Linked DNA regions of Rhinolophus ferrumequinum. The protein of the gene in region 4 interacts with the protein of the main gene of each other region in a pairwise test. Links are inferred from orthologs where the notes say so. Each region holds a gene or a part of one and is shown on either strand. Other genes may lie near its edges.

What was found.
Region 1: the proteins of GOLGA2 (region 4) and NEBL interact in binary tests that used the Homo sapiens proteins (3 or more experiments, as listed by UniProt). The two-hybrid records come from large-scale screens. The link is inferred for Rhinolophus ferrumequinum from reciprocal best matches to the Homo sapiens genes GOLGA2 and NEBL.
Region 2: the proteins of GOLGA2 (region 4) and PLAAT5 interact in binary tests that used the Homo sapiens proteins (3 or more experiments, as listed by UniProt). The two-hybrid records come from large-scale screens. The link is inferred for Rhinolophus ferrumequinum from reciprocal best matches to the Homo sapiens genes GOLGA2 and PLAAT5.
Region 3: the proteins of GOLGA2 (region 4) and TCL1A interact in binary tests that used the Homo sapiens proteins (3 or more experiments, as listed by UniProt). The two-hybrid records come from large-scale screens. The link is inferred for Rhinolophus ferrumequinum from reciprocal best matches to the Homo sapiens genes GOLGA2 and TCL1A.

The regions. Positions count from the first base shown.
Region 1 is NW_022680355.1:6,076,260-6,083,219, forward strand, and holds the start of NEBL (nebulette), read right to left. Parts: upstream 3,015-6,960; 5' UTR 2,594-3,014; coding exon 2,513-2,593; intron 2,426-2,512; coding exon 2,354-2,425; intron 1-2,353. UniProt on the Homo sapiens protein: Binds to actin and plays an important role in the assembly of the Z-disk. May functionally link sarcomeric actin to the desmin intermediate filaments in the heart muscle sarcomeres.
Region 2 is NC_046294.1:7,754,928-7,762,251, reverse strand, and holds the start of PLAAT5 (phospholipase A and acyltransferase 5), read right to left. Parts: upstream 3,001-7,324; coding exon 2,985-3,000; intron 2,593-2,984; coding exon 2,308-2,592; intron 926-2,307; coding exon 835-925; intron 1-834. UniProt on the Homo sapiens protein: Exhibits both phospholipase A1/2 and acyltransferase activities. Shows phospholipase A1 (PLA1) and A2 (PLA2) activity, catalyzing the calcium-independent release of fatty acids from the sn-1 or sn-2 position of glycerophospholipids.
Region 3 is NC_046289.1:7,766,240-7,774,201, reverse strand, and holds the start of TCL1A (T-cell leukemia/lymphoma protein 1A), read right to left. Parts: upstream 3,010-7,962; coding exon 2,893-3,009; intron 408-2,892; coding exon 237-407; intron 1-236. UniProt on the Homo sapiens protein: Enhances the phosphorylation and activation of AKT1, AKT2 and AKT3. Promotes nuclear translocation of AKT1. Enhances cell proliferation, stabilizes mitochondrial membrane potential and promotes cell survival.
Region 4 is NC_046295.1:77,184,155-77,191,965, forward strand, and holds the start of GOLGA2 (golgin subfamily A member 2), read right to left. Parts: upstream 3,013-7,811; 5' UTR 2,916-3,012; coding exon 2,868-2,915; intron 1,372-2,867; coding exon 1,255-1,371; intron 292-1,254; coding exon 211-291; intron 1-210. UniProt on the Homo sapiens protein: Peripheral membrane component of the cis-Golgi stack that acts as a membrane skeleton that maintains the structure of the Golgi apparatus, and as a vesicle thether that facilitates vesicle fusion to the Golgi membrane.

The DNA.
Region 1 (6,960 bases), on a different chromosome or scaffold from region 4:
AACATTTTAATCAATTATCTGGCAAGGGCATGATACAGCAAAGTCTCCAGGTCTGCTGATGACCCCAAGCTCTCAGGGAGAGTGAAACGGCAAAATGAAAGCCATGAACTGGGGAGGCTTTCAAAGGGCCGTGCCTCAGGGCAGACAACTACAGATGACATTCATCCCTAGCAAGGTGAAAATCATTCAGGCTACTATTTAAAGATGATAGCCCTAAGCAATCAGCTACAAGTCAAAATGTAGGCCTGAAAATGGCTGAGAATGATGTCCAACAGCTCTCTGCAGCCTCCAAGTCCAAGAAACTCTAAATTTTATCACAAAGCATTGAGGGAGCAAAAGGGAACATCGTCCCACCCTATACATAATCACAGACCACACACACCTGGACTGCTGGGCACAGATCTGGTCATCACACCCCATTAAAGACCTATGCGAGCTAGAAGAGGTCCAAAGAGAGACAGAATGAAAGGCTGCTCCATGAAAAGAAACCCATAAAACTGCCCTTTTTATCTAATAAAATGGAGCAGAGTGATGAGTGGATACCAGCCATGCTCTGGACTTAGCCGGACCTAAGCCTGAATCTTGTCCCTACCCCTGACTAGCCCGGTGGCCGTGGGCAAGCTACTCGGCCTTAGGTTGTACCACCTCTGAACTGAGGCTCGTAGACCCTACGCCAATGGTTCACTGTGGCACAGAACACAACGTCTGCCACACAGCAGGAGAGAAAGGACGTCGTGGTGGCCAAGGGTTAGGAGTCAGACAGACCTTGCTTCAAATCCCAGGTCTGTGGTTCACTAGCTGCGTGATTTGATCAACAATGTGAGACTGCTTCTGAAAGCTTCGGGATGTGGGACTGTACGAGCAGGAAAATATATACCAAATTCTCTTGGTGACATAGGCTGTAGACAGATTGCCTTCAAACAAACAAAAAGGCTCGGGTAAGCACATGGATGCCCCTTCAGAATATAATGAATTAGAAAACAAAACTAAGGGACTTGAAGGTTTGTCTTTAAATTGAAGTTTGGGACCAGGAAAAAGACCAGTGCATGGCTGAGAGAAGGTTTTGTGTTCAAGTCCTACGCCCTACTGCTTAACTGTGTTACCCAGGCAAGTTACTGAGTGTCTCTGAGCCTTTACTTCCTCACCTCTAAAATGGGGAAAACAATAGAACCTACCTCACAAGCTGCAATGCCTGGCAGGGGTATGATTCCCACCATCCTTTGGTTCTTTCTGACAAATTACAAGGCAGCACAGAGTTATACATAAACTGAGGTTGGACGGATACAAGTCATTTGCACACGTAGTAGTTAGTAACAGCTAGCATTTCTTGAGTACCCACAATGTCCCAGTTTACTAAACATTTCAGATGTGTCACTATTATTCAGTCTTATTATTACACATGTCCTACTGAAGGGACTGAGCCCAGCCAGCCTGCCCAAGGTGACTGTTGATTCAAACAGGTTGACTTCAGAGAACTTGCCAGAACACTACCCCACTGCCCAGGACTGAATTCCTTTGAAAATAAACATTTGTAAAATATTCTGTTCTCTTTGTTCATTCACAACAGAAACAACCATTTTTGTGCTCACCTCTCTAAACACGGATGCAGGCATCTATTCACTTTCCATGCTCCATCTTTCTTCTGTCCCAGCAATTCCCTTACACAGGTTTTAATGAGGCTCATCTAAACTCTCATCCCTAGAGAGCAATACTTTTCCTTGTGCTTCCAGAATTCTAATTTACTGTAAAAATATATGACTTAACTCTATAAGTCTAGGATTCCCTTGAAATAGAAACCAATCCCAGTTAATGAAAAAAGTCACAACAAAAATGTTCCTTTTCACTGATATCATCATCATCATCATTTAGTTCAGGGTTCTTAGCACGTAGTTCAGTTATCCAGGAATCCTATATTGGATATCAACATTATATGCACGTATATTCTGGTTTGGAAAACTATGGCGTTCATCAGATGCCTCAAAAAGTCCCCAAAATGTTTTTTTTAAATCATTCATTTAGGCAGACATCCTCTCAAAACAAATTACATTATTATACAAATTGTAAAAGGCTTTGTGTTCTCGAAAGGAACAGTCTCTGAATTCAATGCTTTATGATTTCACGGCAGAGTGACAGCGAAAACCCGAAAGCACAGCATTCTGCTTCTGCAGAAATTCTCTTTATGGGTGATCTTGGGGAAATCACCTAAAATTTCTGGACTCAGTTCCATGATCTGGAAAATAATTGTGTCTTAATAGACGATTTCAAGATTTTTCTCTCCAGCTCTCTGATTCCATGACGTAATATTGCCACCCATACAATGCCAAATAAGACAGAAATTGCATAAGCCACTTACATCACTAATGAGTTCCGTGCATTTTCTGGCCAATTCCATGCTCAGGTCTTCAATAACAGGCTTAAAGAATACCTATCCGGAAAAAAGGGAAAGGAAACATTTCTAATCATCAACTGAGAGGAACAAATACCCTTCTTCAGTAGGTGCTTGCCCACTCACCTTGTCGTCTTCATTTTCGTCTTCCTCTGTTTTTTCCTCTTCAGTTTCATCTTTTACATCCTCAGATACAGGGACCCTCATTTTTACCCTCTCTGTCTATCTATGTAGTTTGTAATTCACTAATGTAGCACTTTTTATGTACTGCAGCACTCTTGAGATCTTGGAGTCTGGTGTTCGGCAGAAATGAGCTTACCCAGGCCTCCTCCCTATTTAGCTCATACTTCACTCTCCTTATCACAACTCTGTGTGAGTGGATGGAACAGATGCCGGAGGTCGGCCAGGACTGCCTCCCAAGTGGAAGTAACATTTTAATAGGCAAAATTCCATTGTATGAAAATGTAAAGTCAACCTTCTTGGAACGGGTTAAGAAATCCAGAAAAGACGATTTATTTATATTTCACTAATTCAATTCACAAAAGAGCTTGAAAAAGACTTCAAGATTCTGGGAAAAACTACTTAGCTATCACATTCAAGATAGCACAGTCCAAAGCCTGTTATCTCAAAGATTCCTCAATTCCTTCTAAATAAAGCTCTCACTGGAATATCAGACATAGCTCTGATCTGCTATCGTGAATCTGGATCATTTAAATTCATTTCATTAATCTAAATTAAATATTTTAAGAGACATATATGTACTTCTCACATTCTAAAAAACACTCACTTTATATTTGCTGATTAAAAGGCAAGTAATTTATTATGGAAAGACCTTTGAACCCTTCAACGAATCTATTCTGACTTAATTATGACTGTTAATCCTATACTGCTATATTATTTTAATTATAAACATGATTAAACATGAGAAGTTGCAGTGAACATAGGTTGGTATATCATTTAAGAATTCTACAAACATCATTGGTTCAAAAAATAACAGTCATACTCTTTCAATTCTGCCCATTGTGTCAAATTTACAAATTCACGAGTTACTTGTATATTCCTGAGTATGCAATACATTTGGAAAAGTTGGGGAAAATGAACTATTACAATGTTGACATGGACCACAATACAATAATGTGGCTGTGGCACATGTCATCAGTTATATAATTTAAAATACATGGTATTTCTCAAAACAAGTCCTTTAATGTCAATTTAGGCAATTCTAAGACTCTGTCCAGCTTATAATTTATCAATGAAATCCTAGGCTTTAAATCCTAGGTTTTTAAGTCCTAGGCTAAATGAATACAGCCACAGCATATCATGTGTTGCACATAAAAGAGACCCTATTGTGAATAATGAAAGTAATTACATAAAATACAATTTTATTCAAAATAATACATCATTGTAAGTAACCAAATATAATGCTGTTTTCTCTTGATAGCATATCCAGCTTGACATTTATTTTTTTAATTGCTTTGGCCTTGCCTAAACTAAAATTCTGACAAGGAAAATTCTACAGTCATCATGTATAGATCATTTCTCAAATTGTGTTCCATGAGGCTAAAGTTCCACAGAATACTCTGAAGGGGAAAAGGGGGATTTTTAAATAAACATGTTTCGGGAAACCTGTATACCAGTATCTACCTCAGCCACTTAGAGATCCACATGGCATGATCACACATTAGGAGCTCTGAGAAGACCCTCGACCAAGAAAAATATTTAAATTTGCTTAATCCAGCTTTCCCCAAACATGAAATCCTACCCATCTAATCTAATCTAACCTATCTATCCACTTAGTTGCCTACCTACCTATTTTTTAATGATATCCAATACTCCAGAAAACTACCATTCTTTTGTGAAGTATTACTTAGGGAAACACTGTTCTATTCTGAAAAAAAAAAAAAAAAAAAAGAATATATAGTGTTCTAGAAGAGTCATTGGTCTTTTCATGAAACAGTTTTCTATACAATCTAACTTATAGCATCACGTATCCTGCTTACCAAAAAATGTCAGAAACAAGTGTCCCACAGGTGCTGAATTTGGAAAACAACATAAAAATAATAGTCATGTCATGCTAGTGTAGAGAATTCTATACAGAAATTCTAATTACATTGTGGTTCTTCCATAAAGGAGCAAAATGTGTGGACTCTGACTGATTCCATCAAGTCCTCTGCCAGGATAATCTAATAGTCTATAGATCTGGTACATTATCTTTATTTGGAAATAGGGGAAAGCATTTTCTATAAGCTTTTCTTGCAAACTTCTAGAAGTATAGGGAGAAGAATCTTGCCACAGCTGCCTAAGATGCACCTCTTAGCTAGTGTTTGAGGTAACAATACTAGTGTATGAGGTAACAATACTACTGTGTGAGGTAACAATACTCGTGTCATGAGGTAACAATACTTGTGTTTGAGGTAACAATACTAGTGTTATGAGGTAACAATACTTGTGTTGCTCATGGTGCTATCTCTTCCCCATGGTGAATTACCTTCATCAGACTGCAACGGCTGCTTTTTCTCATTTCCCATCATGTAGTAAGTTCTTACTGGCTCTCCACTGCGCTGGAAGAAAATAATCTGTTGAGATTATGCACGAAAGTTTCAAAAGCAAAACCCAATACCACATGCAGTGTGAACACAAATTTTGCATTTGAGATTTTTAGAACCAGAATTTTAAAGCCACAGGGATCCTTAAGAAATCAATCCTGCTGAAGCCCTCTCTTTTACAGAGGACAAAAGTAAGGTCAAGAGAAATTAATTATTTGTCTTATTTACGAAGTTATTCAATGGAGCACTAGGACCAGAATTTAACTAAAGCCCAATATTTATGTATTCATGTAAGTGTTGTTATGCCAGGGACTGTGCTTGGTGTTAGAGATGCAATGGTGAGTAAAACATACTTAGTGCTAAGATAAGGTAGAAAATAACAACCCCATCACTCAAGACTTGATGGAATAACTCTTTAATGGATTGTTTGGCAAGCTAGATACATTATTACTTTTGATTGAATGCATTTTTCCTTTCACCTATAGGTATAATACAAAATTCATGTCAAGTTTTAAGTCCTGCATTTTATCACAGCAAAGCACTCTTGTCAATAGCTCCAAAATGTGACTCGGGAATAAAAAGAAATTGTTCTTCATGGATAGTTATCATGTTTCAAAATTCCCTATCATCCTTTTTTCTTTAAACCAAGTTAAATGTTGTCTTTTAATGCATGTTTTCACTTTGGGGCACCTCAAAAAGGGAGTATCTGTATAGTTGCTAATCCCTTTTACTTACTGAGCATTTCATTTTATGCTGTCTACTTTTTGTTTAGTACTAGATCCACGCGCTGACCAGAATGAGACCAACATGAGGATCACATTACTTACAGCTAGACCCCCTACTTCCAGGTCTGGCTCTCCCACAGACTCTAGGACAAATTACTTAATCCTTCTCTAACTCTCCATAGTTAAAAACAGAAAAACTGAATTATCAGAAGTTAATAAAAGAAAAGCACCTTACAAATAACAAAGGCCCTTACAAACACAAGAGTTTTTACCTATCGAATAAAGGTACACCGTTCCAGGAAAAGCACCTGATATGAAAGGATCTTCTCATTTGAAAGGTAAAACTCTATACCACCAATATGTTTTTTAAGGCCAGAAGGACCTACTACAGCATAGCAGCCTAAAGATAAGAGCTAATTTGTGTGTTATAATACAGAAGGCTTTGATCTTTTTAGAGTTTGAAGTTTATGTGTATTTCCATAGAAAACGGCCCTCCCTAGGGTAATTCAGGTCTTGGGGACACAGCCCCTGGCCAAGGAAACCGGCTATACTGCTATCGTGAGTCATATAGTACTTTGTCTTCAGTGCTCTGAAGGTCACATGAGACAAGAATCTCCTCAGTTCTGACAAATATGTCATACTTATTTCACTTTTTTTCTCCTTTTTGTTTCTTTACAGTGATAGAAAATGTGTTTTTCCACAACATAATGATGACTGACTTGCAAATAAAAATCCGTATGAACGACTGAAATAGACTGAGATTCAGTTCTGGGTTGAGAAAACTTACAGACATAAACTGAATTTTTCCATTTTAAAATGTAATTCAAGATTTCTTATTATAAAACATTCACCCTAAATGGTTAGGTGAGAGGGGGATTAGTTCATCTGACTTGTTTCTCTGCCTTGGCAATCTTTCACCTACTCATTTTCAGTTGCCTGGTTTTGTGTTGGTGGGTTGGTTGGTATTTGTTTTTTAATGACTATCCGCCAGAACGTTCTCAGTTGAATTCTTGGTTATTTTCCTTTTGCTTCATATAGTTCCTCATCCTTAGGCATCTGTCCAAAAGAGAACTTTACTAATAGATGAGGGGGAGGAATCATTTCTTAAAACAAGAAATGTAAGCTCTCTGGGGCAATTTGTCTTCTTTATAAAAGAGGAGAGTTCTGCTTAATATTAGCCCAATCTATTTTTACAATTTACAGCCATCACGCCGATCTTCTTCTTTTCAATGGCTATTGCATTACTGTTTGTTAGTTAGAAATCAAAAGAATACAACGCAACTTGAATAACTGTCAACCTTAC
Region 2 (7,324 bases), on a different chromosome or scaffold from region 4:
GAAATCCTATTGAATCACAGCACTATAACCGCAAATAACGTGAAAGAAATCAGTATATTTTGTCTCTTGAAACTAAATGTTGCGGGAGAGGAGAGAACTGAAACTGAAGACAAGAATATGCTTTTTAAATAGTAGAATGAAATATTTTGGGGCCAAAAAGACCTGGATTTGAAATCTGGCTCTGATACTTGCTGTCCAACCTTGAGCTAGTACATTAATCGGTCCGAAATCAGTTTTATTATCTATAAAATAGAGATGATAATATTTGTCTTCCAGAGTTGTCACGAGGGCTAAATGAGAAAGCATATGCGCATGTACATATGTGGTACATTACCAACCCATAAAGGGCATTTTCTTTATCTTTCCTCATGCGTCAACTCTTCTCCAAAGTATACTAAATGGGGGGTGGGGGTGGGGATCCCTCATATTCAGTACAGCTCTTCTGGAAACTTTCAGCCCCTCAGAATTTAAAAAGAGGCAAACCATGTTTTTAATGAATGTGAATGGAGGAAATGTATAAGAAGGTTGCATCATTCATTAGTTAGTGAGACCAACTGGCAATATTGTAAGCACCATTGAAGGCATTTCCATTCTCAGGGTTCTGGAGAAGGCCTCAGTGGCTAGAAAGCACTGCAGGACACACTTTCTGTCAGCGAGTCCCAAGCCTGGTCACAATCTATTGCCAGGACCATATCCGCCTTCTGCATACTGGTTAGTGGTAGGCTGTTTTGCACAGAAACTACATCAGGATTTGTTATACAGAACTGCCAGCAAAGTCAATTCAAAAGGCTTCTCTCACCCAAAGACCCAGCCCTTCCATACAAAGAATCTTACCCCTGCTGGACGCCTCTTCTCTTTTCTAACGGACCCTGCTTTGGCTGCTTGAGCGAGAGCTGGACCAACACTTGAGATCCCACAGATTCTCCTAATTCAAGAAAAAAAAAGCGATTTAAACAACAATTGCTGCCATGGTGCTGGTAGTGGTGGTGGTGGTGGTGGACCTGTGAAAGAAGGGTTCAGGTGATCACCTTGACAGCAAAGGTGGGCTTGGAGCTATCGTCTAGAACCTTGCCAGGCTCCTGGTTAACCTTCAATCAATTTTTGGATGAATGAAGGAAATTGTGGGACTAGGTGCTGGAAAGGGCTCACTTCCTCTGCGAAAGAGAGACTTTGGAATTCCCAGGGACAGACTCCGGGAAAAGATGAAGTTAGAGTTGCCTCTATCCCAGATCGCAGAAACCTTGGGGCTAAGTCTGATGGCAAAAGCTTCTGCGGAGCTAGCGTCCTTCTTAACTCAACCTGCTGGGGCACTGCCACCTTTGTGCATTGCCACCTGAAGTACAGTGGGAGGGTAGATACCCGAGAGAGTCACTTGATGTCTACCTTGCTTTGATTAAATTCATAATAAATGATCATTCCGAAATACAAGGTCTGAGAATTAAGCTCACGAACCTGTTGCAACAATGTTGCTAACCTTTTTTGATATCAGAGGGCTTATTCATTATGAATTTGTACCAACTGGACAAACGGTTATCCAAATTTACTATTTGGAAGTGCTGAAAAGGCTGCGTGAAAAAGTTAGACAACCTGAACTTTTCACCAACAATTCATGGCTCTTGCATCACGACAATGCACCAGCTCATATCGCACTGTCCATGAGGGAGTTTTTAGCCAGTAAACAAATAACTGTATTGGAACACCCTCCCTACTCACCTGATCTGGACCCTAGTGACTTCTTTACCTAAAGATAAAGGATATAGTGAAAGGAAGACATGTTGATGACATTCAGGACATCAAGGGTAATACCATGACAGCTCTGATGGGCATTCCAGAAAGAGTTCCAAAATTGCTTTGAAGGGTGAACTAGGTGCTGACATCAGTGCATAGCTTCCCCAGGGGAGTACTTTGAAGGTGACCGTAGTGATATTCAGCAATGAGGTATGTAACACTTTTTCTAGGGTGAGTTTGTGAATTTAGTTGTCAGGCCTCCTATTCACTCATTATTATTAACAGGCATTTCGTACTACCAATAAACATCTACAAGAAGGAGCCTTGAAGGCAAACATGAGGACTTTTCTGCGGGTGCCACATCCTGCTAGGACCTGGAGAACAACCCAGGACCGGTCCAAGCTTGTGCGCGGCGGCTGGGTAAGGTGGGGCCCCATTCCTTCAGCGCCCAGACTGAGGCACAGCTGAGTGCCCAGGAACAGGTTGATTGTTATTTGGTCCTATACCTGCCATTTTTGAGGTGGGTTTGGGGCAGGATCTGGGAAACCTAAGGAGGCGGAGCGGGCCCTTCCTCCCGACGACGCGGCTCAGACCCATCCTTCTGCTGCAGCCCGGCGGGTTCCGGGGCCTGGCAAGGGACGACGCGCCCCGCCAGTTCCCAGTGGGCACAGCCCCAAGTCAGCGGAGCCGCGGGGTCCAGGGCTCTGCGGCAGCGCCGGGCGGGACTGCCCAAGGGAACTGCGGGGCGCGTAGCAAACGGCGCGGGCGCGTGGCGGGGGCGCTCTGGGCTGGGGGGCGCGGGCGGGGCCAACGGCGCGGGCGCGGTGCGCGCGTCCAGGAACAGACAGGGCACAAAGGGGGATGCTTGAAGGCCCAGGAATCTGGGGCTCTGAGAGGAAAGGCAGGGAAAGGGACGTAAGAGGCAATTCGAGGGGTGCAAGGTAACACCGAACAGTTTGGTAAAGGCTTGAGGGGCATCTGATGTGGCTGGAGAAGCTGAATGTCATGGAGCAGACAGAGGAGCGACATACGGAGAATGCGGTTGAGGCCAGATTCCGAGGGCCTGGGGAGGCACATTCAGGAGTTAAAATCTTAAGGGATTCGGAGTTTTATATGTATTTTTTCACACACATGTTTTATTTTTAAATTTAAGATATACGTATCAATATCATATATATCATGTAATATATACAAAAGAATGCATATAGTTATAAAACATGGTAGTCAAATTTCTACCCATGAATACACCATCCTACCTGAGAATCGGAGCATACCTCGCACAGATGCTCCTCCTACCTCTGTTCTTTCCTTATCCCACCTCCCTGCTTCCCTGCCAGAGGTAATCTCTCTCCTGAGTTTTGTGTTTCTTGTGCCCTTGCTTTTTAAGTTTTTTAAAATCTCTCTTCTGTATCCCATTTTAAAAGTTTTTTTAAATCTCTCTTCTGTTTCAATGAGTGCTACATACCTCATTGAAATAATACATTGTTTCATTTTTCTTATTTGAAGTTTTATAAAAATGGTATCATGCTGTATGTTATCTTTTGCAAATGCAAGTTGATTCGTTCAAAGTTGTTCCTATAATAATACACTTTGTATATAGATCTGTAATTCATTTCCCCTGCTGGAAAATATTCCATTATGTGACTATACCTCAATTTATTGATTCAGTGATAAAGCCACTTGTTTGTTTGTTTTTTTCTAATTTGAAATGAGAAGCTATTGAAAAGAACCCAAATTATGTCCTGGTGTATGCATGCAAGAGATTTTAGTATAGGATCTATAGGATATAGAAAGGTATGCAGAAAAAGTAGAGAACCATATGACTTCACACATATGTGGGATATAAAACTGAAAACAATAAAGGAACAAGACAAACAAACAAAGAAACAAAAACTCATAGACACAGACAACAGTTTAGTGGCTACCAGAGGGTAAGGGGAGGTGGGGGTGGTAGAAGAGGGTAAAGGGGGTCAAATATATGGTGATGGAAGGAGAACTGACTCTGGGTGGTGAGCACAGAATGTGACATATAAATGATGTATTATATAATTGTACACTTGAAACCTATGTAATTTTACTAATCATTGTCACCCCAATAAATTTAATGTATGTACATATTTATGTATAGATACAGATATATAGATATAGATAGATAGATAGATAGATAGATAGATAGATAGATAGATAGATAGATAGATACTGGGGGTGCCAAAAAAAGTGTATACAAGTGGACACTTTGGTCAACATTGGTCAAGCAGTATGCCATAATCAGAAGTATCTGGATACTGATGGTAACCACTTTGAACACCTCTTGTAATTGCAGAAGTCAAACGTGACTTGTATTCATCTTTTGTTATTGGTATATATTGAGTATTACAATTTTAATAGTTTTTTCCTTTCTTAAAATGTGTATACTTTTTTTTGGCAACACAGACACTCACACACACACGAGGTCGGACAATTAATTTTGTGAATTCATTCTAGGAAAAGTGCTACATACCTCATTGCTGAATATCACTATGGTCACCTTCGAAGTATTCCCTTTGGGAAGCTATGCACCGACACCAGAGCCTAGTCCACCCTTCAAAGCAATTCTGAAACTCTTTCTGGAATGGCCATCAGAACTGTTGTCATAGTATGCTTGATGTCCTGAATATCATCAAAATGTCTTCCTTTCAATATTTCCTTTATCTTTAGGTAAAGAAAGAAGCCACTGGGGTCCAGATCAGGTGAGTAGGGAGGCTGTTCCAATAGTTATTTGTTTCCTGGCTAAAAACTATCTCACAGACAGTGTCATGTGAGCTGGTGCATTGTCGTGATGCAGGAGCCATGAATTGTTGGTGAAAAGTTCAGGTCGTCTAACTTTTTCACGCAGCCTTTTTCAGCACTTCCAAATAGTAAACTTGGTTAACTGTTTGTCCAGTTGGTACAAATTCATAACAAATAATCCCTCTGATATCAAAAAAGGTTAGCAACATCACTGCAACAAGTTTGCGAACTCAATTGTCAGAATTTGTGTGTGTGTGTGTGTGTGTGTGTGTGTGTGTGTGTCTACAGAGAGAGAAAGAGAAAGAAAGGTATGCCAATGTTCAACTTTTGCAGTAGAAGACTGAGTCTTCCCAATTGATGGTACCAATTTCACTCCTACCAACAATGTATAAGAACTCTTGTGGATTTACATCTTCACTAACACTTAGTACTGTCACATTTAATTTTTCCAGGTGAGTGGATGTAAAATAGTATTTCATTGAAGTTTTAATTTGCATTTCACTGATCACTAATAAGATTGAGACTTTGGCGTGTATTTATTAACCATTTAGATTTCTTCGTTTTAGAAGTGCCTGTTCATGTCTTTTGCTCTTTTTTTTTTTTTTTGCATTTGTCTTCTTATTGATTTGTGGGAGCTGTTTATATATTCCTGACACTCATCTTTTAGTCCATTCTGCTTTTTTACACATATTATGTTCTAGCTCATGCCCTATCTTTTCACTTTCCTTATGAAATTTTTGATGAAAAGAAGTTATTGACTTTAATGAAGTAGAATTTATCAACCCTTTCTTTTGTGTTTGGCTCTCTGTGTCTTTTCATGAAGTCCTTCCTTGCCCTGAAGTCAGGAAAATATTCTTCTATATTTTCTTGTACAAATTTAAGATTTTTATCTTTTTCATTTAATCTGTCTGGAATTGATTTTTCTGTATGTGTGAGGCAGAGAGCCAATTTGATTTTCCTCAAAGGAATAAACACTTATTGATAGTTTCTCTTTCCTCCAGTGATGAGCAGGCCCGCCTGTGTCAGGTGTCAAGCCTTCAGGAATGAGTAGGAATATTGTTGGTGCTATTCTACTCCACTGGTAAAAGTGTCGGTCTTTATGCTACTATCATGTGATATTAATTACGATACCTTTATGATAAATCTTGATATATATATGGATATTTTGAGATTCCCCCTCCTTATTCTTCCTCAGGAGTTTCTTAACTATTCTTGGGCTTTGGCCCCTCCATAAATATTTCATAATTAGCTTGTAAAGTTGTTCAAAATATTCTGTTGGCATCTTGATTGAAATTACATTGGAGCCATAAATCAATTTGGCAATTTTGACTTCTTTACCAAACTGAGCCTTCCAACCCATTACATAGCAGTACTATAGCTTTCTATTTGTTAGATCTTCTTTAATATCTTTCAATGAAGTTTTATAATCTTCATAAAGATCTGATCTTAAGTATATTACATTTTCCCCTCTACTTATTTGGAAGTTTACACGCTCTTATTTATTGTCTTTGAAATTTTAACATGCGTGCTTAAAGTCTAAAAGTAATATCCTAAACACCCTTCTGAAACAATGCAAGGACCTTAGAACACTTTTACTCCAATTTTCCCCTCCCATGCTATTTTAGTTCTGTCCTCTTTTTAAACCTGGAATTCACATTACTGTTGTTACAATTATTATTATATTATACATTATTATATTATACAGACATTTGTTTAGATCGTATGTTTGCCGCTGTCTTTATCATTCCTTTTTGCATCTCAAACCTTCCCTCTAAAATCATCATTCTTCTTCCTAAAATAGACACTGAAGGTCCTATAGTGAATGTTTGTTAACTCCTGGTTGTCATGGAGCTCAGAGAAGGACCTCAGAGGCTCCTGTGGCATCATGAGAAGGAGCAAAAGAGGAGGAGCCAAGGGGAGGTTCAGGCAGCCAGGCTGGGCTGGCCGGCTGCAGGCTGGCTGACTGCAGAAGGAAGGACTCCTACTTCTGGAAGGATCCAAAGGGAGATCCATATGCCTCTCTAAAGCGTCTTCAGTGGCAGAGAGTGCTGGAGTAATAGAAGATGGCCTGCACGTTATCTCTAGCAAGTCCACGAAGCCAAGGCTCCCAGTACTAGTAGAACTGCACAGAGCTCGAGGGAGTCCATGACTGCCCCATGACTTGTCAACCATGTTCCTCCTGCCTGCCCCTAACTGTAGTCTTTCTGCCTTCCCTTCGTTCCAGGGTACTGCAGTGGGAGGGTGCCCAAAGGAACACAAAAATATTTTTAAAGTTCTATAATGTCATCAAATAGCCAATCAATGTTCACATCACCTGATTGCATATATGTTTTTTAACTGGTTTTTGTTGTTGTTGTTGTTGTTTGAACAAAAATCTAAACAAAGTCCGTAAGTTACAATCAGTTGATGTGCCTCTTAATTTCTTTTAATTAAAAGCAGGAGGCAGAAAACTACAGCCCACAAACTAGCCGTCACTGTCTGTTTTTGTATGGCCTGAGAGTTAAGGTTGGTTTTATACATTTTTAAATGCTTTTAAAAATAAACAAAGAATAGTTGTGTGATGTGAAAATTATATGAAAGTTAACTTTCAGTGTCCATAAAATTTTATGTGACTGTAAACATGCCCTTCATTTACATATTGTCGATGGCCACTTTCTTACAATGGCAGAATTGACAAGTTGCTGTGGCATCTGAGACTTTATGGTCTTCAAATCCTAAAATATTTATTATCTGGTCCTTCACAGAAAAAGTTTGCCGACTTCTGCCCTACATGTTTATGCGCCACCTTTTTTTTCCCTTGTAATTTTTTAATTAAAGAAAGTGAGTC
Region 3 (7,962 bases), on a different chromosome or scaffold from region 4:
CGTTCCTGCGGCTGAGGGGGCTTCTGGTAGAGGCCTCCCAGGGTAGTCCGACCATTCACTTCTAACTTCAATACAGTCCTTTCAAAATCTGCAGTTGTAAATTCCCTCCTCTTTTTTTTTTTTTTTTTAGTGCAGAAAAGGAGGGAACAGATACACTGCAGAGGCCAGACGTGGGGGAGGGGCAGTAGGACCACCCAAGATGACCCAACGGGTCCCTGGCAGAAGCACACACTTGCCTGAATGTGGTACACTATGTGCCAGAAACTGGAGTCTGAGCCTCGGTACCGTCTGCCAGGGTAGAGCTGCCACATCAAAGGCAGCGGGCTGGGGGGCAGCTGGCTGGGGCGCATAGCCTCCCCCCGGGGGATGTCTTCCTGACGTAAGAGTACTCGGAGGCCATCTTCTGTCTGAAGAGAAATGAAGACCAGAGCACACCTTCAGGGTTCCCCCAGGAACAAATAACTAGATTCTTCCTGCCACTCGCCTGGCTGGCTGGCATCTGAGATTCTGGGAAGCACTGTTCTAGAAACTCTATTCCTTAAGCCATACGTGCTCTCAGGGACTCTGGCTGGGCCAGGACATCCAGACAGGGCCACAAAGGCCCACTTTTCTGACGAACTTCTAGTAGCTAGGCTGTGCCACGGGGCCCTTGAGCTTCCTTAACTCTGCGGTTTGGTGCCTACTTCAGCTGATGTAGGATTTTCTTTATTTTATCATATATCTTTTTTTAAACAAGATATCCCTGGATCCCAGAATCAGGTGACAGACCACTTTTTGCCATCCCCATCTGGGCTACTTCGATGACTTCCTAACTTGCCGCCTGGTTGGTCCTGTACTCCCCAAGTGTCAGTTCTCGGCACAGCAGCCAGGGTGTGTGGCTAACAATCACGTATGTCACTCCCCTCCCTGTTGGACACGCTCCGATGACTTCCTATCAGAGGCAGAATGAACTGACATCTTTACCATAGCCCACAGCCCCACGTAGCCGGGCCTGTCTCCCTCCTCTCCTACCGTCTGTCCATCACTTTCCATCCTGTACCAGCCACACAGCCTCTGCACTATTTCTGGGACGTGTGACACTCCCAGTAGTCTCTTTCACCTGTTGTTGTCTGCCCGGAACATTCTCCCCTAGGTCTAAGTGGGACTCACACCCTTTTTTTAGGCAGGAATCTACTCAAATGCATGTCTTCTATAAAGACAAATTTCAGCAAAATCCAATTCTAGATATACACAAGAGGCATACCTAAAACAGAGGTTCCAGAAGGTTTCAAATTAAATGGGCAAAAGCATGACAAGCCAATGGAAATTAAGACTCCCTGGGGGTCCTGCCTGAAGACCCGACACCCCACTGGTTTTGTCTCTCATTCCACCTTTGTTCTCCTACACAACTTAACACCGACCTCAATTATCTATGGTCCTTCTCGCCCAGTAGAATGTCACCTTCACAAGTAGTGGGATTTTTATCCCATTCACTGCAAACCCCCACGGCCTAGAATCATTGTTGGAATATAAACTAGGCACTCATGTGTGTTCAACGACTATTTTTCCAAAGTGGAAATAGCCTCTAAAAGTTTTCTGTCCATGAATGAAAGTAGAACTCAGGGTTAAAAAATAATTCAGATCATTCTGCAAGGTGTAGATGTGGAAATCACCATTCTTGTTGTGTTAGTACATAGTCTTCCATATCCTTTAACCATTTTTAGTTTGCTTATTCATCCTTTGCTTGTTGATTTACATGTTAAGAATACGCGTCTTAGTTACGTAAGGTAAATCCTGTCGCACTGTTTGCTAATGCATTAAGTTTTGTGCAGAATTTATAATGATTATGTGAAAAACTCTGCTTTGTGGTTTCAGTCATTTTGAAGAAGATATTCCCCAGCTGGAGATTAAAAAGATTTTCACTTAAATTTGTTTTAAATATTTGACTTAAAAAAGTAAATATTTTACTTGATTTTAAAAAGTATATATATATATACATATATACCAATAAAGATGCAAATTTAGATGGTGGAAACCCAACCCCATTACCTAACTAGCAGTGTTACTTTGGACAAATTTACATTTTTATGCCTCAGTTTCCTCACCTGTAAAATGGGGACACAGTCACTACTCAATAACTTTTTGCTATTTGCTATTACATAAAGTTCTAATATTACATATTTTAACTTTGGTTTTATACTTTCTTACTTCGGTTTACATATGGAAAGTTTCTGCATTTTCCACCTAATTTTCTTTGAGGCAACCCATGCTATGATGGAAAGTACTTAAAGAGAAATAGATTTCTTTTTAAAAAAAGTTATCATTAACTTAAGTTCCACCTTAAGTCATCACACATAAAACAAAGTCAACATTTATTTAATACTGGCTTTTATACTACTATATTATTTATATAAGTTTGTGAAGTCTGTTTACCCCAAACTCTAGGGCGGTGGTTCACAAACTTGGTGATCACATCTATTGAGGGTCCTTTTAAAATACCGATTTCTGGGGCGCACCTAAGGAGACTGATAATCGGATGCACGTATTAATTATTTTAGAGAGATATTATTCCCATTTTATGGCTTAGGACCCTGAAACCCAGAAAATTCCTCTTTTACTCAAGATCACATTCACACACTCCCGAGGCACTGGGTCCCCATTCTTTGGCCAACATATCTTTTTCCCACACTCCTTCCTGGCCTGGAGAACTACTTCTCCTTAGAGACCAGCTCAAAATGGTTTCATCTGTGAGCCCCGAGCAGATCAGGCCTTCTGAGCCTCCCTGCCGCTGCACCTGAGGGGCTCCTGGAAGCCGTGCACAGCCTGGGACGTCTTTGGCACCCAAGGGCTGGCCAGGGATGGTGACACCCATGCTGCCCTGCCCTGCCCAGCCCAGCCCCGGAGTGGCTGTACCTTGATGGAGATGGGCAGCCAAGTGCGCTGGTTCTCGTCTACATAGACGGCCTTTCGCCATATCCACAGGTGGTCGGGATGCAAGGCCGTCTGCACGCTGAACGGGAGCTCGCCCATGACCCTCCGGCGCTCTAAAGCAAGAGCCAGAGCCTCCGAAGGCCTCTCGCTTGTTGATGGGACGCAGGACCTAGACGCTTTATAGCGGGATGGCGCGGGCGCCCCCAAGCGGCAGGGCGGGAGGAGAATGGGAAGCAAGGCAGGCGGGGCCCAGGGCAGGATAAGGCAGCTGCGCAGGGCAGGATGGGCCAGGCCCAGGGCGTGGTGGAGCGACCCACAGCATCCGGAGCTGCGCCTGCGCCAAGTCCTGAATTGTGCCCTGGATCCTGGCGGTGTCTGAGCGCACAGACCCGGGAATCCTTGGAGGCCAGCCGGCCTTGCCCTCTGTCCCCAACTCTCCACTGATGCGGAGGTACCCTGGTCTGTAGCCTTGGCCCTGTCTTCTGTCCTGAAGCGCTGGCGCCCTCCTCTAGGACCCCACTGTCCCATCACCCACGGTGTGTGGCTCTTCGAGCCACACCCCATTCCGTGACTCACAGCCCACACCAGGCAACCCAGAGCCAGCGCCCACTCCATGTCTGCTGGGATCCGAAGGGACCCTTGCAAGCCGGAACAGGGCCTGGACTCCCCCAGGTCATGTCATCACCTCCAGCCTGTGGCTTTGGGTGTCACAATCAATTTCCTCCGCGAAGTGCGACTTTTGAAGCCCTGCTCCCACTTCTACACAAAAGCCATGCATTTTCCACAGCTTTGATGCTGCTGTGCGCATCTAATAGCTATTGTGAAACATGGTGGTGAAGAAACAGGGCTTTTCTCTTTATAGGCTTTGAATTCATTACTGAAAATGTTCGAAATCAATACTTGAAAAGAAACCCTTCCCTCCACTCCAAGACTCCGATGGATATGAAAAAATCCCTGGCTTATATGACCAAACTGTCTCTCTGTAAATTACAGCAAATAAGGAAAACAATTTTACTGCATTTTGCCATAACACGTGTCCGTCAAAGCGATTAAGAAAATAAAGTGCAAAATAGAAATGTGTAAAACGCACTCCAGCCTCAGTGCTCCAAAATCACCACTGGTAGCAGTTTGGTGCCTCATCCTAGCTCTTTCCTGTCCCTCTGACTAGGCACCTAGAAAATAAGTTGTGGTCTTCTTAAATGTCATGAAAGTGAGGTGACTATCTGATCCCCAGGCAGCAAAGATATGTATCTACTTCTCTGCCTATCCAGACAGCCCAAGAAGGGGCAGTGGTGGCCGCCAGTAATAGAGGTATAATTGGATTTACCAGGAATGTAAAATGGAAGACAAAAACCAAGTAAAACTGGGAGCCGAGGGAGGAGACGCCAGCCCAGCAAAGCTTTTTCCCAGTGCAGCCCCTAGTGGTGTTAGTACTTAATAGTATTCAAATTTGTGGCTTTCAGGCTGATTTCCCTGGGGGTTGTTTTTACTTCCAGATCCAGATAGCCCCTGGCAGCCGAGACTATGTGGTAATACGCTCTGTGGGGGAGTCTCAGCCTCCTCCTGAGCTTTGAGGTTGAAAATGGTAAACGAGTTCAGTTTAAACAATACTGCTAGTGTGGCCTCTTGTGGCAAGGGAACGGGCACCCAGGAGCCATGTGGCCACTGACGCAGCCACATCCATGGCTCCGGGACCCGGAATGCCACCGGGTCTGTCGATTTCATTAGCAGTTGTTCTGCTTTCCTAAGACGCCACAAAGGAACACATAATGGGACAAGAATCAGACCCATTTGGCTGGCTACACTTCTTTTCTGAATGTTTTGGGAATTTGATCCCCGTCTTTGAAAGAACAATGTACTTCTTCAGTTTCACACGAGGGCTTCTTACTATTGCGTAAGAGAACGCGTCATTATTGGGAAGGATTTAGAAAATCGTTTGAGAAGGGGTTCCAGAAAATGAAAAGTGAAAGAAGGCTGATGAGGAGCCTTCTCTATGGCATTTCATGAGAGGGGAAACAACGTCTGTCGTGTGGTCTCAGAGACAGGGAGCCTTTCCAGCATGTTCTCAGCCCCATCTTAGGGCTCTACAGCCCGTCAGTCTCACTTTAGCGTTCTGTATTCCTTCCAACGCTTTGTTTATTAGTCTGCCAGCTCCCTGAGAATAATCAAGTGGATGTTTCATGCAGAAAGTAACGCAAAGCAATTATTTTGACTTTTTTTTTTTTTAAGAATTCTTAATTGATGCTGTTGTGTCCTGACTTGGATCCACTTTGGACTTTGACCTGTGAAATTTGCCATCCTTTGCCATCTCATTGCCACACTTTTGTAATGAATGGGCCAAGCTAGGTGTTCTCTAAGCCCATGTCTAACTAACAGACCCTGAACCTCTGATAGAGTTGCCTAGTGGGAGGAGGGAACGGTTAACAGAAGATAAGATTTAATTCGCGACCTTATGTGGGGACAGAGCCAGGAGTGCAGTTTCCAGGCTCTCGGCCTCACGTGGAAAGGTGCTGGCTCAGGTAGTAAATGGCCATCAACTGTGATTGGATGGCCATCAGCTGTGGCTAGTTGGCCGTCAGCTGTAACCAGTGAGCCATTGGCCACTAATATAACTGCTGTTGCTACGCTAGCAGAAAAATGAGGGCCTAGCAAGAAGATGGTGGCTGAGCTAGCAAGCGCAGATTGCAGTTAGCACGGCGCATTGCAGCTAGCAAGTGAGGTGGATTGGCAGGGAGAAGTGGACGGCAGTTTGCGGATAGTGTGGCTCCTGCTTCCTGTGTTTCCAACCCAGCTGCCAGCGAGACTCTAGTGATATGACTCCCCTATCTATGGCTCCGTGGGTGTTCCTTTTTGGCCTCACCATGTCCTGTGTTCTTATACGGGAAGTGGGACCAGAGACCCCGCATGACATCCCACATGACACCTTAGTTCAGGAAAGCCTATAGTTTTGAGCACAGTGGTTCTGGATATCAAGGATTCCAGTGGAATTCATTTTTCCTGAGTGAGGAAGCCATCCTTCTTGTCGGGTTCCAAAGAAGGTCCTTGAGGGTGAGTCATGGCCAGCAGTAGGAACCAGAGCCTTGCTTCCTGAAGGCTGGCCCCCGGACCACCTACGTTAGCATCACTTAAAGTTCATGAGAATTGCAGGATATCGAGCCCTCCCCAGACCTACTGAGTCAGAATCGGCACTGTAACAAGATCCCCCAGTGCTTCATGGGCACGTTACAGAGGCAGGACCAGGAGGGAGAGATGATAGGTGTCGGCCTCCTTCCACCAGTCCCTCTAGATTTCTCTGTGACCCAAGAGCTGAATATGTGTCTCTGTATCATTTAGTTCTAGGTTATCTTATGTTCTGTTACAATTGCTGCTAATATATCAAGTGTTTTCCTCTTTAGAGAAAATCCTGGTAACCATCACCCATGATTACAGCAAGCTGTAATGGGCCTGTAAAGGCATCCAGGCCTGTGGGCCCTGCAATGGCCCCAAATCATTAAGCTAGTGGAGCGCAGCCCTGACTGCTAAATAGAATCACCTAGGAAGCTTTTGTGAAACAACTGTGCTTGGACCCCACCCCATACCCATGAGGCCAGAATTCCTGAGATGCAGGCTTGGGTACAACTTTTCTTTTTTTAGGGTCTCCTCTGCTAATTTAAAGTGCAGCCAGTCTGACAATCACGTCTCTATGATTTGAATTACTGTTTTTGAGGTGGGAACAAGATTTATAAAACTAAATAACTGTGAAAATGTTAAAGCTATTCTTTCTACCGTCAATTCTCACTGTATACCTCACCCCAAACCTGCACTTTACTTCTTTCCCTGTGCCCTACTTTTAGTTTCCTGCTTCCCGTTTTGTGTGTGCAGGGGACCATAGCACCAAGATGATTAGAATTGTAAGGGTCTGAGATCTCACCAACAGGTAAAACGTAGAAACTCTGATATGTAGATATCAAGGCGTCCATGCTGGTCACCTGGAATGGTTTTTAAATTATTCCTAAGTCTGGGTCATATTTTAGATAATTAGGGCGGATGATCAAGTGAAGTCAGGGTAAAAAGGAAGTTATAGCTTTTATCCAAAAGGATGAAATTTAACCTCTCGATTAATGGAGAAGCTGGGACAAGGATATTCTACGTAAAACTTGGACCGAGCTTGGCTTTACCCACAGGTGGCTACTATTGCTCTCTTTAAACTTAACAGAGTTTTAAGTTTTAAGCGCTTCTCAAACTTTAAGGTGTGGGTGGAGATCTTGTCAAAATGCATTTTCTAATTCGGAGGGTGGGGTTGAGATACCACATTTCCAACAAGCTCGAGGTGAGGCTGATGATCTGGGAGCCCCCTCTGAGTCCCAAGACCTGATATTAACCCAGTACACACACAGCGCACAAACGCAAAAGCCAATGCCCCCAGACCCCCTACTCAAAACGCACCAAAGGGGGTGACCCGACAAGCTGGTAGAGTCAGCAGCATGTAGTAAACTTGCAATGGACAATTGGAGCTGGAAATGTGGCTCCCATGGCGCAGACACACACTAATGTTCCCCTACATTTGTATCAGATGCGTTTCTCAAACCTAGGATTATTTCACACTTTGGGGATTATACCCACAGCATTACTGGGGCTGCCTCTCAGCTTGGTTCTTGTTCCACGCTCAATTCATCTTTAATTTGATCGCATTCATTTTCCCCGAGAAAAAGATTTCATATATGTCTTTATTCCTCCTAGGAAGTCGGCTTGTACCATCGTGCTTCTAACATACATAAGCTGAGCTAAGTAAATATGTTGACTTTGTATTGCTTGTAGACTTCCCACTGAAAATGTCCTCTGAAGCATTTCCACAGTATCTTTAGACCTAGCTTTTCAATTTTAAGACTATTCGAAATGGAATTCTAGTCAATTCACATTGTTTGGGACTTAATTTTTTTATGTGGGGTATATAAATACAGTATACTATACTATATACTAATATGTATATTTTGTATCCTAGGTCAGAATCTAGTTGTATCTTAATTTTTCCAAATATTTAGCCAATTTCCCAAACACTAGTAAATAATTTAC
Region 4 (7,811 bases):
TTTTCCAAGATGCTGAAAGATATGGGGGGAGGGAAAAAAAAAAAACCCCAGTCAATCAAGCAGGTGAAAAAGCAGACATGAACAGGCCGAGGGTTAATGACAGCAACACAAAAGAAGCCAGAAGCAAAGTATCCCCCAAACCAGAGAAGCCTTGGGGGCGTGCAGAGCTGACAGAGAGCAAGCCAGAGAGGGGATCTCGGCATGCCTCACCTTCCACTTGTCCAATGGGGGCAGCGCAACCCCATTGGAGCGGTTAAGGTCGGACACCAGCACCTTCAGAATGTCCTGAATCTACAGGAGGCGGAAAGGGAAAAACAAGGGCAGGGAGAGACAGAGAAAAGTGTCTTAGAGAGAGGCAAGAGGGCCAGGGAAGGGAGAAGAGATGGGTTCCGGGAAAGAGAATGCTAGAGGAGAGAGAAGAAGGTCAACACCACGGCCTGTGCCATCGTTCCAAACAGCCGCTTGCTGCCTTGCCAGAGGCAGAAATCAACGCCAAGGAACAGATGGAAAAGTCCCCTGAACGATGCACTCACAAAGAGTGGAGTCACCTGACCAGTGCAGCTCTGAATATGCCCATTAGCCCCTCTCCTCAGGCCCAGGCTGCTAGAGGCGAACCTGGCAGGGCTCCAGACCCTCATCTCCATTTTAAAACCTCGATTTCCAAGTAAAGGTTTGCTGAACCAAAGGGGATTACAGCTAAAACATAAGTTTGGAAGACATTATCTGATCCAACAATATCATCTTACAGATGAGGAAACTGAGGCCCAGGGGAGGAAGTCCTTTTCCTGAGGTTACCCAGCAAGCTGTGGCTGAGATGAGCTCGAAACTCCTAATCCAGTGCCTAGGGCTCTCCTCACCACACCCGGGGGCTCCTCTGGTGCTTCCTAAAGGGAGAGCCTGATAGTAAGTGGCCTCCCCTTGAGGCTGGGGATGAGGAAAACCACCAGAGCAGTAAGTCCAATAGCAACTCCCCTTTCCTGAATGTTTACTCTACACCAGGCTCTGTATTTAAGGGATTCAGATAGAAACAACAGTCTCATTTAAACTCCATGAGGGTAAGTAAGTAGTACCCGGATTTTACTGATGTGGAAACAGACCCAAAGAGCTTAAAGAATTTCCCCAAATCATATCCCTAGCAGAGGGAGAAATAAGATTCAAATCCAGACTTCTTAACCAGTACCTGACACTTCTTCCACAATCTAACCACTAAGTTCTAGTCTTCCATCCCCAGTAGCCTGGCCAGCCAAGACTCACCTCCTCAGGCGAGTGACAACCATCAGAAGTGGTTGTCTCACTGCCATTTTTACTTTTCTTTTTCTTCTTTGCTCCTGAAGGAACACCAAGGTTGTTTTTCTTCTGAAATTCTCTCAACTGCAGAGAGGAAACGCAGTAAGACTCACGAGAACTATAAAGCCCTGTATTCACATCCTACTTTACAGTTTACAAAATACTCATATGCGCCATTTGATGCGATGCCACAACAACTCTACAAGGTGTTGTAATTCTCACTTCATGGCTGAAGAAAGGGACTGATCACATAGCCTTTAAAAAAAAAAAAGGCAATAATGGAATTTAAATTCAGTCTTCTGACGCTGAGGTCCAGGGGTTATGCCATAAAGCAGCAGCTGCCAGGGGGCAAAATCAGAGGCAGAGGTGGAAAAGTAAACATTGAAGTGATCAGGCATGAGGGTCCCTTCTTATACATCTATTGAGATGCACAGCAGTACTTCTCAAACTTTGACATCAATGGAGCCCAATGGTAGAAGGCAGTGAAGACACACCCCTAGTGAATCTGCGATTGTAGCAAAGACAACTCAAGCACCATTTTGAGAGACGTCTATTATAATCTTACAAATCTATGTAAATGTAATCCCTAAATGCACTAATATAAAAAGGCTTTTTCTCTCTCAAGAGCCTCCAGCAAAACGGATGCTTCAGTCCCATATTTATCCTGTGGCACTCAGAGCCCCCCATGTTGAGATGATGATTTGGGGATGATTCCCAGCTGTGAAGAGCAGTTTCTCGGGATCTGCTCCACAGAGGACAAGCAGAGCTCACACCAAAGAACACTGATTGAGGGCGAATCTGGTCTCAGGATCATAGGGCATGATTAGAACGTGAGGTAGAGAATTCAGATTAAAAATTAGGAACACTCTCTGGGGACTGGAAACGGGAGAAAACCAAACTAAACACATTCTCCCCATTGCCACCCAGAGATGTGGTCAACGTTTTGAGATCACTAGTGAAATGTAGGCTTTTTACGCTATCAGTGTCTAAGCATGGGGTACAGTCTACAGGAAGCCTGAAACCTCTCCGATCTAGGTCCCATAGTGCCGAGTCCCCTTCAAGGTGGAAATTTGTGCCGCGACCAAAGAAAACGGAGAGAGCGAAAACACTAGGAGGCTGGGTCTTTAGATCGAACACCTGGCTCGCGGCTGTAAAGACGGTTCCGAGGGTGATTGTGACGTAACTACATTCCACTCTTCCCTATGGATGCCCCAGTCGCCGCTCCGCGGAGGGGGAAGGGAGCGCAGGGCCCGGACCGAGGTCCTTAGCAACTGGGAGTCCAGGGAGCCCACGGAGCCCAGAGAGCCCAGAAGGTCCGGTTCTTGGCGGCAGGAGACAAGGGCCGAGCCGGGAGTCCCGGGGGTTACCGGCCCAAAGTCACCCGGGAGCGACAAGCGAGGGCGGGGGCTGGGCTGCCGGGGAGTGGGGGGGTGGGACTGGTGAGAAGATTTTGGTGGGGAGCCAACAGGCTCCGAGGGGCTTGCCCCGTGTGCCTCCGAGGCGGCACATACTCTGGCCACGGCCCAGCCGTCGGAGGGGCCTTGGGCTGGGTCAGGGAGCCGCGACCCGGCACGTTTTACCTTTTTCTTGGCCGCGGCCAATTTCTTCTGTCGGGTTTCTTCCGACATCCCGGGACGGGGGCGGAGGAGGCGGGACAATTTGAGCCACAACCCGACATCCACTGCGGAGTGTGCTTCCGGTCGCTACGGCGCAAGTGCGAGACGGAGCCACAAAAGGAGGGACCGGGGTAACTAGGCCGCAGCGGTGTGGGCGGGGCCTCAATTCTCTAATACTATTGGTCTATGAGAAAGACGTCACGACAAAAGATGTGCGTGCGGCCCCTGTCTCCGCCCACCTCGGGGAGGGGCGGGGCCTTATTTCTCAGGGTGCGCGCGCAGCTCGCTGTGTGACGGTTCTTGGGCTCCATCGCAGGATTCTGATTAACCCGCGGACCTGAGAGGCCGCGCTCCGTCCCTCGCCCTGGACCCTTCTGCACAGCAAACCCCCTCGAAACGGGGGCCCCGGACCCCAGGGCTCAGGAGGTGGGCTAGGAGCGGGCTGCAGGGGGAAAACTCATCCCTTCACAATCCCTGACCTGACTCCCATAAGTCTGCCCCAGACTTTCTCATCCCAGAGATCACCTCGAGACCCCGACCCAGTCTACACACTCCATCCTATCAGAATCTCTCCTTCCTCGAGGATCTCCACCCTGATCCCGGGAGCGTATCTGCCCCCTTCCCGACTGGATCCAGTGCCGGTAGCTCCTACTTCCCAACTCCTCCAACACCCCCACAGTACCCCCTCTTCCCGGAGCGAATTCTAGGTCCAATCAGCCATTTTTTCCCTCGGATTCCTCTCCAGGACTCAACCAGGACTTTCCAAAAGTTGCGGCGGGGCCTTCCGATCCCCTGTGAGTATGCCTGCGCCCCCCTTACCCTCCACCGTGTAAGTACTGCTGCTCCTAGCCGTCCTCTCCATCCCCACAGCAGCTGACCCACCCCCAGCCCTCTCCAAGGTTTCCCCTTATCCGAAGAAACTCTGGGTTATTTCTCAGCCCTTCCCCTTCTTTTCCTCGTGCCCACCAAGCTTCAAAGAAGAAGCAGTGCCCTGTCTTTGTCAATGGCACCCCAGGCTCTCCAAGTGGGCTCTGTCTCTCCTTCCTGACAGCACCACAAGGGGTTGGTTCTTTTTGACACCACCATGCCCTCCCTCACCCATCCCACCCACAGGTAAACCCTTCTCATTCCCTCCAACATATGTGCTCTCTCCTGTCTTAGGGCGTTTGGATGTACCGTCTGTCCTCTGTCTGGAATACTTTTCCAGCTTTTTGCCAAGCTGATGTCTACTCATCCTGTAGAATTGAGCTTCTCAGAGAAGCCTCACCCCCACTTCTAGCTCAGTCCAGCGACCCTGTTAGACACGCCTGTAGCACACTGCACTTCAACTTCAAAGCACTCAACTTCAAAGACTTGTAGTTAGTTGATTAGTTATTTGTAATTCATGCATTCATTAGATAAATTGAATGCCTACTATGTGCCGGGTACTACTGTAGACACAGTGCAATCAGCAGTGAGTCTAACAAAGTCCCTGCCCTCATGGACCTTACACTCCAGTGGTGTAAGGCCGACAATGAAAATAATATTTCCCGGCTGGCCCGGTGGCTCAGGCTGTAGAAGTGCCGTGTTCCTAAAGCCCAAGGCGTCCGGTTCAATCCCCACATGGGCCAGTGAGCTGCGCCCTCTACAGCTAAGATTGTGAACAACAACTCTCCCTGGAGCTGGGCTGCCCGTGAGCAGCCGGAGGGTGTGTGAGCTTCTGTGAGTGGCTGACCTGTGACCAACTGCCTCAGCCTGGGGGAGCGCAAGACTCAATACCAGCATGGACTACACAACTAGACTGAGAAACAACGGCTTGAACGGGGGTGGGGTGGGGTGGGGTGGGGTGGGGTGGCAGAAGAAAGGAGGGAAAAGGAAAATATTTTCACTGAAAGGCATAACATGTCCGGTGGTGACAGATGTCATAAAACATCAGGACAAAGGGATAGTGAGTCTTTGAGAAGTACCCATTTAAATGGGGTGGTCAGAGAAGGCCTTTCTGATGAAGTGTGACCTGTGAGTAGAACTTTAAATGGAGATCTCTGCAAGAAGAGCATAGTTGTTTGGTGTTTTATATTTGGGACTATGCTATCGGTTCCATGAAGGCAGGGGCCAGGCTTGCTGTCTTCTCCATTGGTGAATCCCTGGAGCCTTTGTCAGCTCCTGGTAGTCTTTGTTGACTGGCTGGAAGATTGGAACCACGTCTTCCTCCGTCTGTTCTGGTAGCGTTCATACAGTTGATCCAACACACGTTTCCTGAACAGTAGCAGCATACCAGGCACTCGCCTTCGCAGCTTTGAGAGGCAGAAAGGGCAAAGATGAATTGTAGTCCCAGAGAAAGATTTTGTTATCCAATGAAATAAACCCAGCAACATCATAGACTTGAGAGAAGAATCCAAGTAGACCTGACGTGGATTCTCTGGAGTCAGATATGGTCCTTTAGTTAGAATTGGGTTTGGCTGGGAGTGAATGAAAACCCCAAATAATAATGGCTTTAACAGTCATCAGGGACCCAGGGCTCTGTCTTGTTGCACCTCATCTTCAACGTGGCGTCTATCTCATCATCCAAGACACTGCGCAGCTCCAGTGTCCCGTTGCATACACCATTTCTGATTAAGTTCCATTTGCCAGAACTTAGGTTTAGGGCCACATCTAATTCCAAGGGAAGCTGGGAAATGTGGTCTTATTCGGGCGTGGGGAGGTGTCTATTACCAAGCAGACGTGGTAATATTGAGGAAAACGTGTAGGTTGTGAATGGGGGACAATGGCTCCGTCTGGCTAATGACTTTTTGTGCCACTCAGCGGCCGTCTCCCAAGTCTGGCCAGGCTGCTGGGGCCAACGAGGATTCTGTGCACCTTGACATTCAGAAACTGAAGGAGAAGAGGGACGTGCTGGACAAGGAGCTCTCCCAGTTAATATCTGAGTGAGTCTCACTGGGTTCCTCAGCATCGTTCAGATAACTTTTAACTCGAGCCCAGTAATTGCAACGCAGTCATACTAGCTCAGCATAAAAACAGAACCATACCGTTGGGTTCATGGTGTCTCAGCAGCCTCTCTGGGGTCGGGTGTGGTCAGGCTGGGTGGACCAAGAGCTAGGACTGGAAAGCTGGCAGGAATGGAGGTTATCGCTCTCCCAGTCTCTCTCCAGGGCCCACATTCTCGGCTCTGCACCTGTCTGCACCCGGACTCCATTCTGTCTCTGCAGGTGGGGTTTTCAGTGCCTGGGAGGTGCTGGTTCTTGCACAACTCCTGCGTGTTCTCACACCCCTTGCTCCAGCCACATGGCACAGACTAAGCAGCTTTTGAATGTGCATTTCACTTGAGGGGATCTGATTAGCCACTGGTGTGCCCACCTGTGGCCAGGGTCACAGTAGCAGTGTGGTTGGGACTCCTCCCTAAGGGCACAGGGAGCATGTACCAGGGGCTGACCCCTGCCCTGCTGTAATCTTCAGTGGGCAGTGTCTGTGTTGCCATCTCTATGTCCCCAGTGTAGTGCACCTAGTAGGCCCTTAGTGACCATTTGTTAAGTAGATGCCTCATTACTCTCTGAACCTTGCGTCCTCATCAGCTTTCTTAACGATTCTCTCTCTCCACCCTTTGACCCAGAGGCTACAGTGTGGATGAACTGGACGACCACATCTCCCAGCTGCACGAGTACAACGACATCAAGGACGTAGGCCAGATGCTGCTGGGCAAACTCGGTGAGACGCGGGACTCCAGGGGAGCATCAGGGCTTGGAAGGAATCCCCATCCCCCCCCAGGGGTGGTTGCATTCTGCTCCTGGGCCTTCTCACGTGCCAACCCTCCCACCCTTCACAGCTGCTCCATTCTCTGAGTGCCCCTGCCCTCCGGTCACCTAGCGAAGCAGCTGTACAGCTCCCTGGGGATTTTCCCCTCCACTGTAGAATCTGCTTTGGAGCTGCAGGCAGATTTGAGCATGGGCTCGCCCACCTGCTGCACTGAAGACTAGGGTTCCCAGTCTTCTGGGGCCTACTCACACTGATTAAGACACCATCCTGGCCTCAAGTGGCTGACTTGCTGTAGAGGCAAAAAGTGCAAGGGCGACTCTGTGTGACTTAAAGGGGTATTTTATTCTTCCTTGAACACAGTCTCACTGACCTGAGGGCTTAGCCAAGGCACAGATACCTGTGTGTCTGCGCTGGCTCAGACAGCCCACCTGGGAGGTAAGGACTTGTGTAGGTGGCCGCAGATGCATCACCTGGCTTGGATTGGTGGACACTGTGGCCGGTGACCATTTGGGATGGTGTTCAAGGCAGGGGCTGTGGGTCCAGCTGCTGCAGGACAGGACTTTATTGGGGAACAGTGTGTACTTCCAGGACTTTTTTCCAAGTCGAGTTGTTGTCCTTTCAGTCTTAGTTGTGGAGGGAGCCGTTCAGCTTCAAGTTGTTGTCCTTTCAATCTTAGTTATGCAGGGCGCAGCTCAGCTCCAGGTCCAGTTGCCGTTGTTAGTTGCAGGGGGCGCAGCCCACCATCCCTTGCGGGACTCGAGGAATTGAACCAGCAACCTTGTGGTTGAGAGCCCACTGGCCCACGTGGGAATCGAACCGGCAGCCTTTGGAGTTAGGAGCACAGAGCTCTAACCACCTGAGCCACCAGGCCGGCCCCTTTTATCACGTGTCGTAGAACTGCCTGTCAGCATCCTGGATTCCGCAGCTGGGAGGGCTTCTCTGTGTTTCAGTGGGGGAATGGGTTCCAAAGAAGGGGAAGGAGAAAACCAGGAGGGAAATACAGATGGATGAGGAGAGGAGAATGGGCAGGGCCCAGGAAGACAGGAGCGTGAGGGGCTGGAGTCCTGATGGTGAGGGCATTAGCGCCTGTTAGATAGACCCCAGCTTCAGACCTGTCTACCCTGTGCTACTGTCCAGGGCGTGGGCTCACGTTGGAGAAGCAGACACTTGAAGGTCTCT